Macaca fascicularis: one gene and its partners. The main gene of each other region encodes a partner of the protein of the gene in region 2 in a complex. Links are inferred from orthologs where the notes say so. Each region holds a gene or a part of one and is shown on either strand. Other genes may lie near its edges.

Evidence for each region. Proteins that work in one complex are often made in the same cells at the same time.
Region 1: the proteins of RBL1 (region 2) and ARID4A are in contact, whole or in part, in a crystal structure (PDB 7SMC), measured with the Homo sapiens proteins. The link is inferred for Macaca fascicularis from reciprocal best matches to the Homo sapiens genes RBL1 and ARID4A. Residues at the interface, in NP_002886.2 of Homo sapiens: Tyr849, Ile850, Lys853, Val854, Thr860, Phe861, Gln862, Met865, Lys866, Arg869, Tyr879, Arg880, Asp929, Leu930, Ile931, Tyr934, Asn935, Val939, Ala946, Leu947; in NP_002883.3 of Homo sapiens: Leu957, Val958, Cys959, His960, Glu961, Val962, Asp963, Leu964, Asp965, Asp966, Leu967.
Region 3: RBL1 (region 2) and E2F4 share a complex: the UniProt entries of both Homo sapiens proteins name them as parts of the DREAM complex. The link is inferred for Macaca fascicularis from reciprocal best matches to the Homo sapiens genes RBL1 and E2F4.

What each region holds. Positions count from the first base shown.
Region 1 is NC_088381.1:126,210,003-126,213,502, reverse strand, and holds part of ARID4A (AT-rich interactive domain-containing protein 4A), read right to left. Parts: coding exon 3,343-3,500; intron 256-3,342; coding exon 1-255.
Region 2 is NC_088384.1:93,203,980-93,208,279, reverse strand, and holds the start of RBL1 (retinoblastoma-like protein 1), read left to right. Parts: upstream 1-1,500; 5' UTR 1,501-1,573; coding exon 1,574-1,729; exon of another isoform or gene 1,730-2,384; intron 2,385-3,053; exon of another isoform or gene 3,054-3,128; intron 3,129-4,300. UniProt on the Homo sapiens protein: Key regulator of entry into cell division. Directly involved in heterochromatin formation by maintaining overall chromatin structure and, in particular, that of constitutive heterochromatin by stabilizing histone methylation.
Region 3 is NC_088394.1:63,216,797-63,221,073, forward strand, and holds the end of E2F4 (transcription factor E2F4), read left to right. Parts: intron 1-650; coding exon 651-878; intron 879-2,470; coding exon 2,471-2,518; intron 2,519-2,738; coding exon 2,739-2,783; intron 2,784-2,879; coding exon 2,880-2,995; 3' UTR 2,996-3,777; downstream 3,778-4,277. Other genes in the region: ELMO3 (engulfment and cell motility protein 3), read left to right, coding at 4,200-4,277. UniProt on the Homo sapiens protein: Transcription activator that binds DNA cooperatively with DP proteins through the E2 recognition site, 5'-TTTC[CG]CGC-3' found in the promoter region of a number of genes whose products are involved in cell cycle regulation or in DNA replication.

The DNA of each region.
Region 1 (3,500 bases), on a different chromosome or scaffold from region 2:
CTTGTTCCATTTTGTTTCCAAAAATCTGTACTATTTGTTCATTCTCTCCAACTTCTAACTTCAGGGTTTCTAAAGGCTGCAGCTGAGTCCTATCATTTTCTTTTAATATGTGTGCAGAAATCTTTGGATTTTCTTCATCTAGCTTATCATCATTCAAATTTTCATTTTTTTCTAGTTCATCTTTAAGAGAAAGTTCTTCATTTATTAGATTCTTTTCTAAAGCATCTTCTGTTTCACTATCAGATGAACAAGAGTCTGTAAGAGGAAATATTATTATATTATGCAGGTTTTTATATTACCAATGTAATTTTATAATAAAAATCTTACCAAAAATAACAATAAAAATATTAATCATGTACCTCTGAATACCTCCCTGTAGAAAGTTCTGATATAAAACAAATCATAACATTTGTGCCAAGAATTTGAGGGGGAGGGGAAACTACACTAAGCGCCAAGTAAAAATATATTATATTGCGTATTACTAACTCAAATCTACATGAAAAGCTATTTTGCAATATTCCCCAGTATCATATTTAGGTACTAGAGTCCTTAAAAAAACATCAAAGGATCAGTACCTAGACATCCTAGACATGAAGTTAATTTGTTAAGTGGTTTGAGATAGTATCTAGGAGGGACATGTGATGGGCATTTTGTATCCTAAGAAAGGAATATGACATTCTACTTAAAATAATTGTGGAAAGAAAAGTTTGTTTTCTTTCCTTTCCTTTTCTTTCTTTTTTCTTTTTAAGACACAGTCTCACTCGGTCGCCCAGGCTGGAGTGCAGTGGCGTGATCTTGGCTCACTGCAAGCTCTGCCTCCCAGGTTCAAGCCATTCTCCTGCCTCAGTCTCCTGAGGAGCTGGGATAGGCACGGGCCACCACGCCCGGCTAATTTTTGTATTTTTAGTAGAGACGGGGTTTTGTCATGTTGGCCAGGCTGGTCTCAAACTCCTGACCTCAAGTGATCCGCCTGTGTCAGCCTCCCAAAGTGCTGGGATTACAGGCATGAGCCATGGCGCCCAGCAAGAAAAGTTTTTAAAATGGGCAACTGGACTCAAAACTTTAAATATTCTTAACAAACAAGAAAGTACAGGAAACAAAAATTATTCCCTGTAAGTAAGGGAACTTGTAAAATAATAAAGTAGGGTTCTAAGACTGTATAGGATCTAAAAAATATAAAAATCTTGTCCACATGGTGCTCATATCCTCAAGAAGTTCAAAACTGCAAAAATGAATTTTTAAGTGAAAAGGTGTATACAATTTTATTTTGTGGTTTTATCATAAACAGAATGTAGAATTCATTTTCATGTTTTAAAAAATCCCTTTCAGTGGTAGTTTAATAAGGCTGGTACGTAGTTTTGTAGACTGGACACTAAACACAGTTATGCCGTCTAGGTACCTTTCACTTTGTGGACATCTTTCGTTTGTCAGCAGATGGCAGTAAAGAGGAAGGATGTCCTTTTATAATTTGCACACAAGCACCACAGGTACTAATAGCAAACATGTAGTTCAGTATAGCTTTTTTCTTGAAAGAAGAGAAATTTTTATGTAAGACAACCATTTAAAATTTCTTTTTTCGGGTCTGGGCACAGTGGCTCATGCCTGTAATTCCAGCACTTTAGGAGGCTGAGGCGGGTAGATCACTTGAAGTCAAGAGTGCGAGACCAGCCTGGTTAACATAGTAAAACCCTGTTGCTACTAAAAATACAAAAATCAGCCAGGTATGGTGGTGCACACCTGTGGTCCCAGCTACTTGGGAGGCTGAGGCGGGAAAACTGCTTGAACCCAGGAGGTGGAGGTTGCAGGGAGCTGAGATTGCGCCACTACACTCCAGCCTGGGTGACAGAGTGAGGTAGGGTCTTGCTCTGCTACCCAGGGTGGAGTGCAATGCTATGATTACACTTGCTGTAGCCTTGACCTCCCAGAGTCAAGCAATCCTCCCACCTCAGCCTTCTGAGTAGCTGGGACCACAGGTGCACACCACCACGCCGGGCTAAATTTTTAAATTTTTTTCGTAAAGATGGAGTCTCACTATATTGTCATGGCTGGTCTGGAACTCCTGGGCTCAAGTGATCCTTCTGCCTCAGCCTCCCAAGGTGCTGGATTACAGGCATGAACCACTGCGCTCAGCCTATAATTTCTTAATTACATTTAAAAGTATACAGAGGTAGAAAAGTGGGGAAAATGAGTACAAGCAGAATAAAATATGTTCACCTATACTCATTATAAAACATGCCTGTACCACAATAGTCTGTGTTCTCTTAGAACCACATGGTTTCAGCTTTGCTGAAAGATCCCAGGTGAACAGCACTGAATTTATAGGAGACACTGGTACAGGCTTTCAGGGAAAGTGTAGAACACATTAGGATGCATGGATTGTCAATTCACCTTCTATTAAAATATATTATTTTTAAGATATTTATGAGAAAAAGTATTCCTAAATGAAAACATCACTAAATTTCAAATAAAAATGATACAGCAAAATATTTTCTTCAAATCAAATTTTATAGTTTCAATCATATGAGATTAAAAACCTAGGTGATTTACAGGTTGAACACCCCTAGTCCAAAAACCTGAAATCCAAAATGCTCCAAATTCCAAACTTTTTGGGCACCAACATGATGCCCCAAGTAGAAAATTCCACACCTGACCTCATGGGACAGATTGCATCCAAACACAGGTGCACAACTGTCTTCGGCAGCCCCAGGCTAGTGTACAGGTAACCTTTTAATGAAAACACAGCATCGTAGGTGGAGATTGAAAGCCTGCTGTTTGTTGTCAGTGTTGTTTAGCAGCCAATACAGATATTCTGATGATGCTACCTCGCTGCTTAGTTTCCTCACACACACTATTTTTCCACTGTATTAATTGTAAGTCATATATTTTACTGTTATGTAATTATGTGTAAGAAAATTACTTATCAGTAGGTGGCATATAAATTCAGAGTCAAGAATAACAGTGATGCCAAACAATCACAGACTGTTCACATGAGTGGCTGAGACAGTTATACCTTTGATTTCTGATGGTTCAAAGTACACAATATTTCATGAACAAAACTATTAAAAATATGGTATAAAATTACTTTCAGGCTATGTGTATAAGGTGTGTATGAAGCACTAATTTTCATGTTTAGACTTGGGTCCTATCCCCAGGATAGCTCATTATGTATATGCAATATTCAAAAATAATAAAAAAAAAAAATCCAAAAATCCAAAACACTTCTAGTCCCAAGCATTTTGGGCAAGGGATACTCAACCTGTACTGTGAATATTTCACACAATGGAAGTTTTATTATTTATGTTATTATTTTTTTTAAAGTCAGCCATCCTCAAAATCGAGCACCTTCCATTCCATTTGACAGAGGTGAGCTGTCTGGTATATTGCTGCGAGCACTTCTGGTACCTGATTTTCCTTCACTGTTTGCTGTCTTAGATAAGCCATACGGCATGTTTGATGAAAGGGTTGATTTTAAAGGAGGTCGTCCCCGTTTTGACTTCTGC
Region 2 (4,300 bases):
ACGGGGGCTGCAGGAGGAGCTGCCCGCCAGTCCGGAGCCGCGCCTGCACTCCTCAGTCCTTGGGCGGTCGATGGGACCGGGCCTCACTGAGCAGGGGGCGGCTTCCGTCGGGGAGGCTCAGGCCACGCAGGAGCCCACCGCAGGGGGTGGAGCTCAGACATGGCGGGCTGTAGGTCCCTAGCCCTGGCCCGCGGGGAGACAGCTAAGGCCCAACGAGAATTTGAGTGCGGCGCGGGCGTGCCGGCACTGCTGGGGGACCCAGCGCAACTTCCGCAGCTGCTGGCCCGGGTGCTAAGCCCCTCACTGCCCTGGGCCGGCGGCGCCAGCTGGCCGCTCCGTGTGCGGGGCCCGCCGATCCCCAGCCCGCGCCCGCTGGAACTTACACTGGCCCGCGAGCCCCGGGCGCAGCCCCGGTTCCCACCCGCACCTCTCCCTCCACACCTCCCTGCAAGCAAAGGGAGGCGGCTCCGGCCTCAGCCAGCCCAGAGAGGGGCTCCCACGGTGCCATGGCGGGCTGAAGGGCTCCTCAGGCGCCGCCAGAGTGGACGCTGAGGCCGAGGAGGCGCTGAGAGTGAGGGCTGCTAGCACACTGTCACCTCTCACAACCATTCAGAGGCTGGAGTGAAGTTACAAAGTTGCAAATGAAGACTGGAAGGCGCTCAGTGTGGTTTCTTGTGGACGGTCAATTTCCCATCTGCCATGCATGAAAGGTCCAAGGGAATAACCTCTGGTTCTTTTGTTACTTAGGCGTGGAAAGTTGGGGTTTTCCTTTCAATTTAGTTCTAGGAAGTCACGTGAAACAGCCATAGGTTCCCTACCTCCAGACCCTATTCTCCTGCCTCATTACTGCAGTCTTCTCTGCCCGCGTCTTTTAGCGACTAACATAAGATGAGGATCCATCTTCTAATATCCCTCACCAGTCCTTCCCCTCCGTCATTTAGCGAACCGCTCACTGGGCACTGGGACTTTGGGGAGAGTCCCAGGAGGCCCCTCTTCGTCCAGGGGCTATTTTTTTTCTCTTCCAGCCTCCATCTCCTAACTCAAGGGGTACAGCTCAGTCAGATTATGTTTGGCGCCCCGGGACAGTGACAAACCCAGGGCCCGTGGATAGAGGAGGCATCTCACTACACTGCACGAGGCCACCTCGCAGTAGGCAGCCCAGGCCTGCCCAAAAACCCAGGAGCCTAACCAGGAAGACAGGGGGAGGCCGCGGGCTTCATCTCCCAGGAGATGGACTACATCTCCCAGCAGGCTCTGCGCGCAGGCTGATGATCCCTCCGCTCTTTTTTTTGTCCCGCCGGCTCGGCCCCCCGCGACCAGCCAAGGGCTAAGGCCAGGTATTTCAGAATCTGAGGTCCGTATTCTTATCACATTTCCGGGGAGGGACGGCTAGGAGCTCCGGAGGAAAAACGGACTTTTTTTTGAGGAGAAAAGCGGAGGCAGACGGTGCATGACGAAGCACCCCCGCAACTGCAAGTTTTCGCGCGCTTTGGCGCAGGTGGTTGTGGGTAGCGCGCCTGGGAGGGAGAAAGAAGTCGGGGGCCGTGGCGCGCTGCCCGCGGGGCCTGAAGGGATGTTCGAGGACGAGTCCCACGCTGAGGGGGTGGCGGTGGTCGCCGCAGCCGGGGAGGCGCTACAGGCCCTGTGCCAGGAGCTGAACCTGGACGAGGGGAGCGCGGCCGAAGCCCTGGACGACTTTACTGCCATCCGAGGCAACTACAGCCTAGAGGTGAGCGGCAGCAGGTAGGGCGGCCGGACCCTACCCTCGCCAGGCCCCACCCCTGCCCCGCCCCTTCCCCGGCCTATGGGGTGGTGGGAGTTTCCCCATCTAGGAGGGTCGCTGCGCAGCCAGGCGCCGAGGGGCGGGAAGGGTGGGTGTTGCTCAACCAATCCGCCCATCATTTTGAGGCGGGAAACTGAAGCCCAGGAAAGGAGCGGCCTAGGCCCTGCGCCACTCAAACCCCGGTCTTCCTGACCACACTTTACCCCGCTAAGCGCCACAAACGTCATGGTGGTGCCCTTAAATCAGTAAGAACAAATATAATGGTAAAGTGAAAATGAACTGCCTACCAAGACACCACTGGCCAGAGCTTTAAATGGACCCTCTCAGTTCCGTCTGAACCCCTTCTGTGATCCCCGTTCCACGCAAGAGGAAGCGGAACCCCAGACAGGTTAAGCTACAGGCCCAAGGTCACGCGGTTAGAGATGGAGCCAGACCCAGGGTCTGAGCCGTTTAACCTCCACCCTCTGCTTCATCAGGGTGGAGCTGCTGGTTGCTGTGCAGCGGTTTGATCAAAGCCAGTGTGCATACGAAGCTGATCTCAGCCCTGCGTTTCCTCCTCTGTCAGAGCATCGTCCTAGATGCTTTGCATCAGCGTCTAGCTCTGAATAAAACAAATGTCAGTTATAATTACTCTATTTTTTTCCCCATCATTCTTGCATTTTATCTTCACAACAGCCCTGTGAACATGGCATGGCAATGAGTATTAGACCTGCTTTCCAGGTGATAATGGCAAGGCTCAGAAGGTTGTCTTGCCCAGGGTTATTCTAATACAGAAACCCAGGCTGGGCGTGGTGGCTCACGCCTGTAATCCCAGCACTTTGGGAGGCCAAGGCGGGCGGATCATTTGAGGCCAGGAGTTTGAGACCAACCTGGGCAACATGGCGAAACCCCGTCTCTACTAAAAACTACAAAAATTAGCTGGGTGTGTTGGCGCCTGCCTGTAATCCCAGCTACTTGGAAGGCTGAGGCAGGAGAATTGCTTGAACCCAGGAGGCATAAGCTGCAGTGAGCAGAGATCACACCACTGCACTCCAGCCTGGGCAACAGAGCAAGACTCTATCTAAAGAGAGCAAGATGAGCATAAGCCTGATGGAGTGTATTTCATGTAGCACTCCACTGGCCCCATGTTCAAAGGCTTTCATGTGCCAAGGGCGCTGGACCAACTCCCAGGGTGCACCACTGACTCACCACCCAGTGAAATAATTGCTGGGTTCAAAGGCATAGAGTTGGATGTATATTGACTGTGTGCCTATATATGAAGGAAAAGTACCTGAAAAAGTCTTCCAGACTGGATAGACTGGGTAAAGGACAATGGTCCACATCCGTGGGTGGCATGACTGGAAAGCTGTGAGAAGAATAAGAAAGTAAGGGAGATTAGCCAGAGACGGTGGCTCATGCTTGTAATCCCAGCTCTTTGGGAGGCCAAGGCGGGCAGATCACGAGGTCAGGAGATTGAGACCATCCTGGCTAACACAGTGAAACCCCATCTCTACTGAAAATACAAAGAATTAGCCGGGCATGGTGGCGGGCACCTGTAGTCCCAGCTACTCAGGAGGCTGAGACAGGAGAATGGCCTGAACCCGGGAGGCGGGGCTTGCAGTGAGTCGAGATGGCACGACTGCACTCCAGCCTGGGCCACAGAGTGAGACTCTGTCTCAAAAAAAAAAAAAAAAAGAAAAAAAAAAAGATTAGAATGAATGGCCTCTCAGTTGAAAACAGATTGATTTTTGAAAGCCTGAAAAAGCATTTCTGACATCCTAGTCTCATTTGGTCTCTCTTGCCCAAGGTCACACCATCTGTCATTGAATAAGTATTTACTGTGTCAAAACGGTCAAGGCGTGCACCTGTTTCAGATTCTTGAATATGACAAGCTTGTTCCCAGTTTTGTGGTATATCCGTGCCGTTCCCTCTGCCTGGAATCTTTCCCATCACCCCCAACACCAGGAAAGGTTGAGAGCTAAATCTCTAATTAGGCAGAGTTGAATAGGACAACTTCAATGTTTGCTTTATTTATTTATTTATTGTTTTTTTTTTTTCTTTCTTTCTTTTTTTCTTCCTTAGAAACAGGGTCTTGGCTGGGCACACGGTGGCTCACGTCTGTAATCGCAGCACTTTGGGAGGCCGAAGTGGGCAGATCTTCTTAGGTCCAAGACCAGCCTGGCCAGCATGGTGAAACCCCGTCTCTACTAAAAATGTAAAATTAGCCGGGCATGGTGACATGTGCCTGTAATTCCAGCTACTGGGGAGGCTGAGGCAGGAGAATCACTTGAACCTGGGAGGTAGAGGTTGCAGTGAGACGAGATTGCGCCATTGCACTCCACCCGGCACAACAAGAGTAAAACTCCGTCACAAAAAAAAAAAAAAAAAAGAAAGAAAAGAAAAGAAACAGAGTCTTGCTCTTTTGACCAGGCCTGGAATGCAGTGGTGCAATTGTAGCTCACTGTAAACTCAAACTCCTAGGCTCAAGTGATCTTCCTGCTTCAGCCTCCCCAGTAGCTGGGACTACAGGCATATGCC
Region 3 (4,277 bases), on a different chromosome or scaffold from region 2:
TTTTTAAATTGAGACGGTGTCTCACTGTGTCCCCCAGGCTGGAGTGTGCAGTGGCGCAATCTTGGCTCACTGCAACGTCCGCCTCCCGAGCTCAAGAAATTTTCCTGTCTTAGCCTCCCGAGTAGCTGGGATTACAGGCACCCACCACCACACGCAGCTAGCTAATTCTTGTACTTTTAGTGGAGACGGGGTTTCACCATGTTGGCCAGGCTGGTTTCGAACTCCTGACCTCAAATGATCCGCCTGCCTCGGCCTCCCAAAGTGCTGGGATTACAGGCTTGAACCACCATGCCCGCCTGAATGGGCCCTTTTTAATAGGGAACCTCTGACTGTGGGAAGAGACATTGCTGGTGGCAGTTTTCTCCCCCAGATCCACATCCACTGGTGTCTCAATTGCCCTGGTAGCCTGTCTTGAAGTACGGCCACAGCAGACATGTTGACCACGAGTCTCTTTCTGTAGGTCTTATGTTCCTGTCTGTCTCCTGTAGTGACAAATTTTAGGTTACTTCCTCGGGGGTGACTGGCAATGCCTAATTCTCCTTGGGTCTGGAAACCAGGCTTGGGTCCTCCTGGGTCTGGGTTCCAGCACAGCCAGGTTTAACAACCTCTTCTTGACCTTGTGTGACTGGGTTTGGGGGCTATCATTGCAGTGAGTGGCGGCCCTGGAACTGATAGCAAGGACAGTGGTGAGCTCAGTTCACTCCCACTGGGCCCAACAGCACTGGACACCCGGCCACTGCAGTCTTCTGCCCTGCTGGACAGCAGCAGCAGCAGCAGCAGCAGTAGCAGCAGCAGCAGCAGCAGCAGTAACAGCAGCAGTTTATCTGGACCCAACCCTTCTACCTCCTTTGAGCCCATCAAGGCAGACCCCACAGGTGGTGAGTACCTGCCCCCTAGGGGCAGAGAGAGAGAGTCTAGCCTCAGTCCAGTCCTAGGTCAGAAACAATGGGGATGGAACCCAGCTCTCCCGTCAACCCTGTCGGACACGAGAGCTCTCTGCCAGCACCTCTGGGTCAGTGCTGGAGCCCCCTCTAGTACCCCATCCTAGGCTAACACAGAACTCCCTGCCCTCTCTCAAGCCCTTTCCTGCCACCTATTGGAGTACCGCCTCACTAATTGACACTTCTCTGTATCACTCTTTCTCATCTTCTCTGTCTCCTTTCTGTCTGGACTCCTTGAAAAAGTAATCTCCACTCATTGGTCTCCTAGTCACCTTTCAAGTTGCAGCAGTCACTCCCCCAGCCCCAGTGTTACAGCAGTGTCACTCTTGAGAAGCTACCAAAGGCCTGCCGAGCCCAGCAGCCTCCAGCCTGTTTTGCTGGTGCTCTCTTGGTCTGTGTCAATATTCTTTCTTCCTTTGGCATAATTATGCCAGCTCTTGGCTCTCTTGTCTCACTGGCTTCTTGAACTCTCCCTGGCATGTCCTTAAACATTGCTGTTTTTGAGGGCTATGTCCCATTCCACTCCTGGAGAGGGCTGTAGCTCTGGGTGAACGAATCCCCAGCCTCCGCCTGGCCTAGATCTTTTCCCGATATGCACTTTGGTGTCCACCTGCCGTCCTCTGTACATCCAATGGACACTTTATTCCTGCATGTCCTCGACTGAAGTTAGTTTCTCCCTGAAGCTTGCTTTCCACCTCTGCACACCCTACCGTCGGCCCTATTTATCCAGGCCTGATCCTTGGCTCTCACTCTTAGTTCCAGCTCCTTCTCCCTCCTCCTTCTGCTGCCCACCCCATGCCAGCTAAGCGAGGTCTGTCCCAGATGTCCTCTCCTATCCCCTGGTATCCTCAGCACTCAGGATGACCCCTGGCCACCTCTGTCCTGGATTCTTCAGCATCTTTCTCTTTACCCTGACTGACAGACTAATCTTTCTGAAATGCAGGCCTGACAGAAAAATGTGGCATTTCTCTGTTTGCAAAAGTACCTTTAATGACTCCCTGAGGGCCACCAGATAAGATCTGAACTCCTGAGCCTGGCATGTGAAATCCCTCATGGTCCTCTCTGGTTGCATTTTCTTCTGCTTCCCCTGTGTCCTCCTGGCCAGAGGTTTGTAGTGGAGTCATCACCCTGTAGCGCCACCACCTCTGCCTGGTGACCTGACCCAGGGTCTGGTCTCTGAGTCTTGCACAGAGCAGATGCTCAGCAAGGGTGGGACAGATGGGGTACCTTCCATCAGACAGGGGGTGCATGCTGAGCCCAGAAAGACGCTTCTGTGACCTTTCTGAGTTAGAAAAGCTGTACCAATCACTTGCAGTGGGCCTTTGGTGCCCTGGGCTCAGCACTGAGGAATTCAGGTTTAGCAAGTGAGGCCAACAGACAGTGCCAGCTTGGCCTAGGCAGGGCCTACTACATCTCCTCAGCTGTGTGGAGCCTCAGGGTGGGTGGTATAGGATCCGAGGAAGCCACGGGGCTGTAGTGGTGCCAGGTTGGACCTCTTGTGTCCTGAGCATGGCTTTCTTGTTTTTCAGTTTTGGAACTCCCCAAAGAGCTGTCAGAAATCTTTGATCCCACACGAGGTAGGCTGCTGCATTCCTCCCTGGGGGTAGGGGTAAGGGACACAGCCCATTGGGTCCTACGGCTGTTTTCTTGCCCTTTTGAGGACCTTGTGGTGGCGCTTATGGTAACTGGGGCAAAGGGTGAAGTTCCTGATGGGCAGGTGGGGTTCCCTTTCCTGGGCTTTGGTAGCTGGAGAGTTGGGAGCTGGAATGTTAGTAACTGAGCTCCCTCCATTCCCAGAGTGCATGAGCTCGGAGCTGCTGGAGGAGTTGATGTCCTCAGAAGGTGGGTGGCCCTGGAAGGTGGGAGTGGTTGTGGGCAGGGGTTGGGCTGCTGCTAGGGGAGCCCTGGCCCAGGGCCTGAGACTAGTGCTCTCTGCAGTGTTTGCCCCGCTGCTCCGTCTTTCTCCACCCCCCGGAGACCACGATTATATCTACAACCTGGACGAGAGTGAAGGTGTCTGTGACCTCTTTGATGTGCCTGTTCTCAACCTCTGACTGACAGGGACATGCCCTGTGTGGCTGGGACCCAGACTGTCTGACCTGGGGGTTGCCTGGGGACCTCCCCCATCCGACCCCTACACAGCTTGAGAGCCACAGACGCCTGGCTTCTCCAGCCTCCCCTCACCACACAGTTCTGGCCACAGCTCCGGCTCCTGTGCTGGCACTTCTGTGCTTGCAGAGCAGGGGAACGGAATCAGCCCCCATCACCGTGGAGCCAAAGTGTTTGCTTCTCCCTTTCTGCGGCCTTCCCCAGCCCAGGCTCGGCTGCCACCCAGTGGCACAGAACCGAGGAGCTGCCATCGCCCCCCCATAGGGCAGCTTGTCCAGCCTCACTGTCTTGCTCCTGCCAGCTACTTCCCCTAGGAGTGAAGGGTGGCATGGAACTGGGCACGTGCCAGCACCGCCCCTAGCTTCCTTCGCTGTCCCCCACCCCCTGACCCTCCAGCTCCTCCTGGCCCTCTCACGTGCCCCCTTCTGCTGGGCCTTTAGCCCTAGAAGCTGCAGGTGGTGGGGGTGGCTACCAAGAAGGAACAGAGGTCTCAGGAGGAGTCTGGGTGGTCCAGCCCTGAGGATTGACCCCACCTCCTGCTGCCCCATATCCTATCTTCATTTCTGCTTATTCATTTACCCTCATTTAGAGCCATTTGCAGAGATTTAGAAAGATTTACAGTAACGAATGGATTCCTATATAAAGATTATTTTTATACTTTTTGCAGCAAAAGGAAATTGTAATATTTGTACAGTGTCCAAGTGAATAAAAACCGTGCCTAAGGCTAGCTCTGATGTGGTTCTTTCGGGACCCTCCTTGGGACTGTGCTGGATTGGCAGTGTGACTGGGTGGGTCACCTTGCTGGAACCGGGGGTGTGGGGCGGCCTCCGGCAGCCTGCCCTCCCCGCCCCCACCTGCTGCACGTAGGTGTGGGGCGGGGACGCCTCGGCGGGGCGGGGCAGGCGGGGCGGGGCAGGCAGAGCCGTCCTACCTTCCTATCCCCGGACTCCAACCCGGAACTAACCTCGGCTCTCATGGGAAGGCCGCACTGCATGGCCAGGTCAGTCTGGGCCGCGAGTGCGGGACACCAAGGTCAGGTCTCGGAAAGAGGGAGGACCTCCTCGTCCCCAGGGGCCCCAAGCCAGGTGTACCCTTGGCCGGAGGTGCACGGTCTCCGAAAAGTGCAGGTGCCCACGCCCCGGCTGGACCATGACGCCTCCGCGGAACGTGGTGAAGATTGCCATCCAGATGCGTGACGCCATCCCGCAGCTCATCCAGCTGGACCAG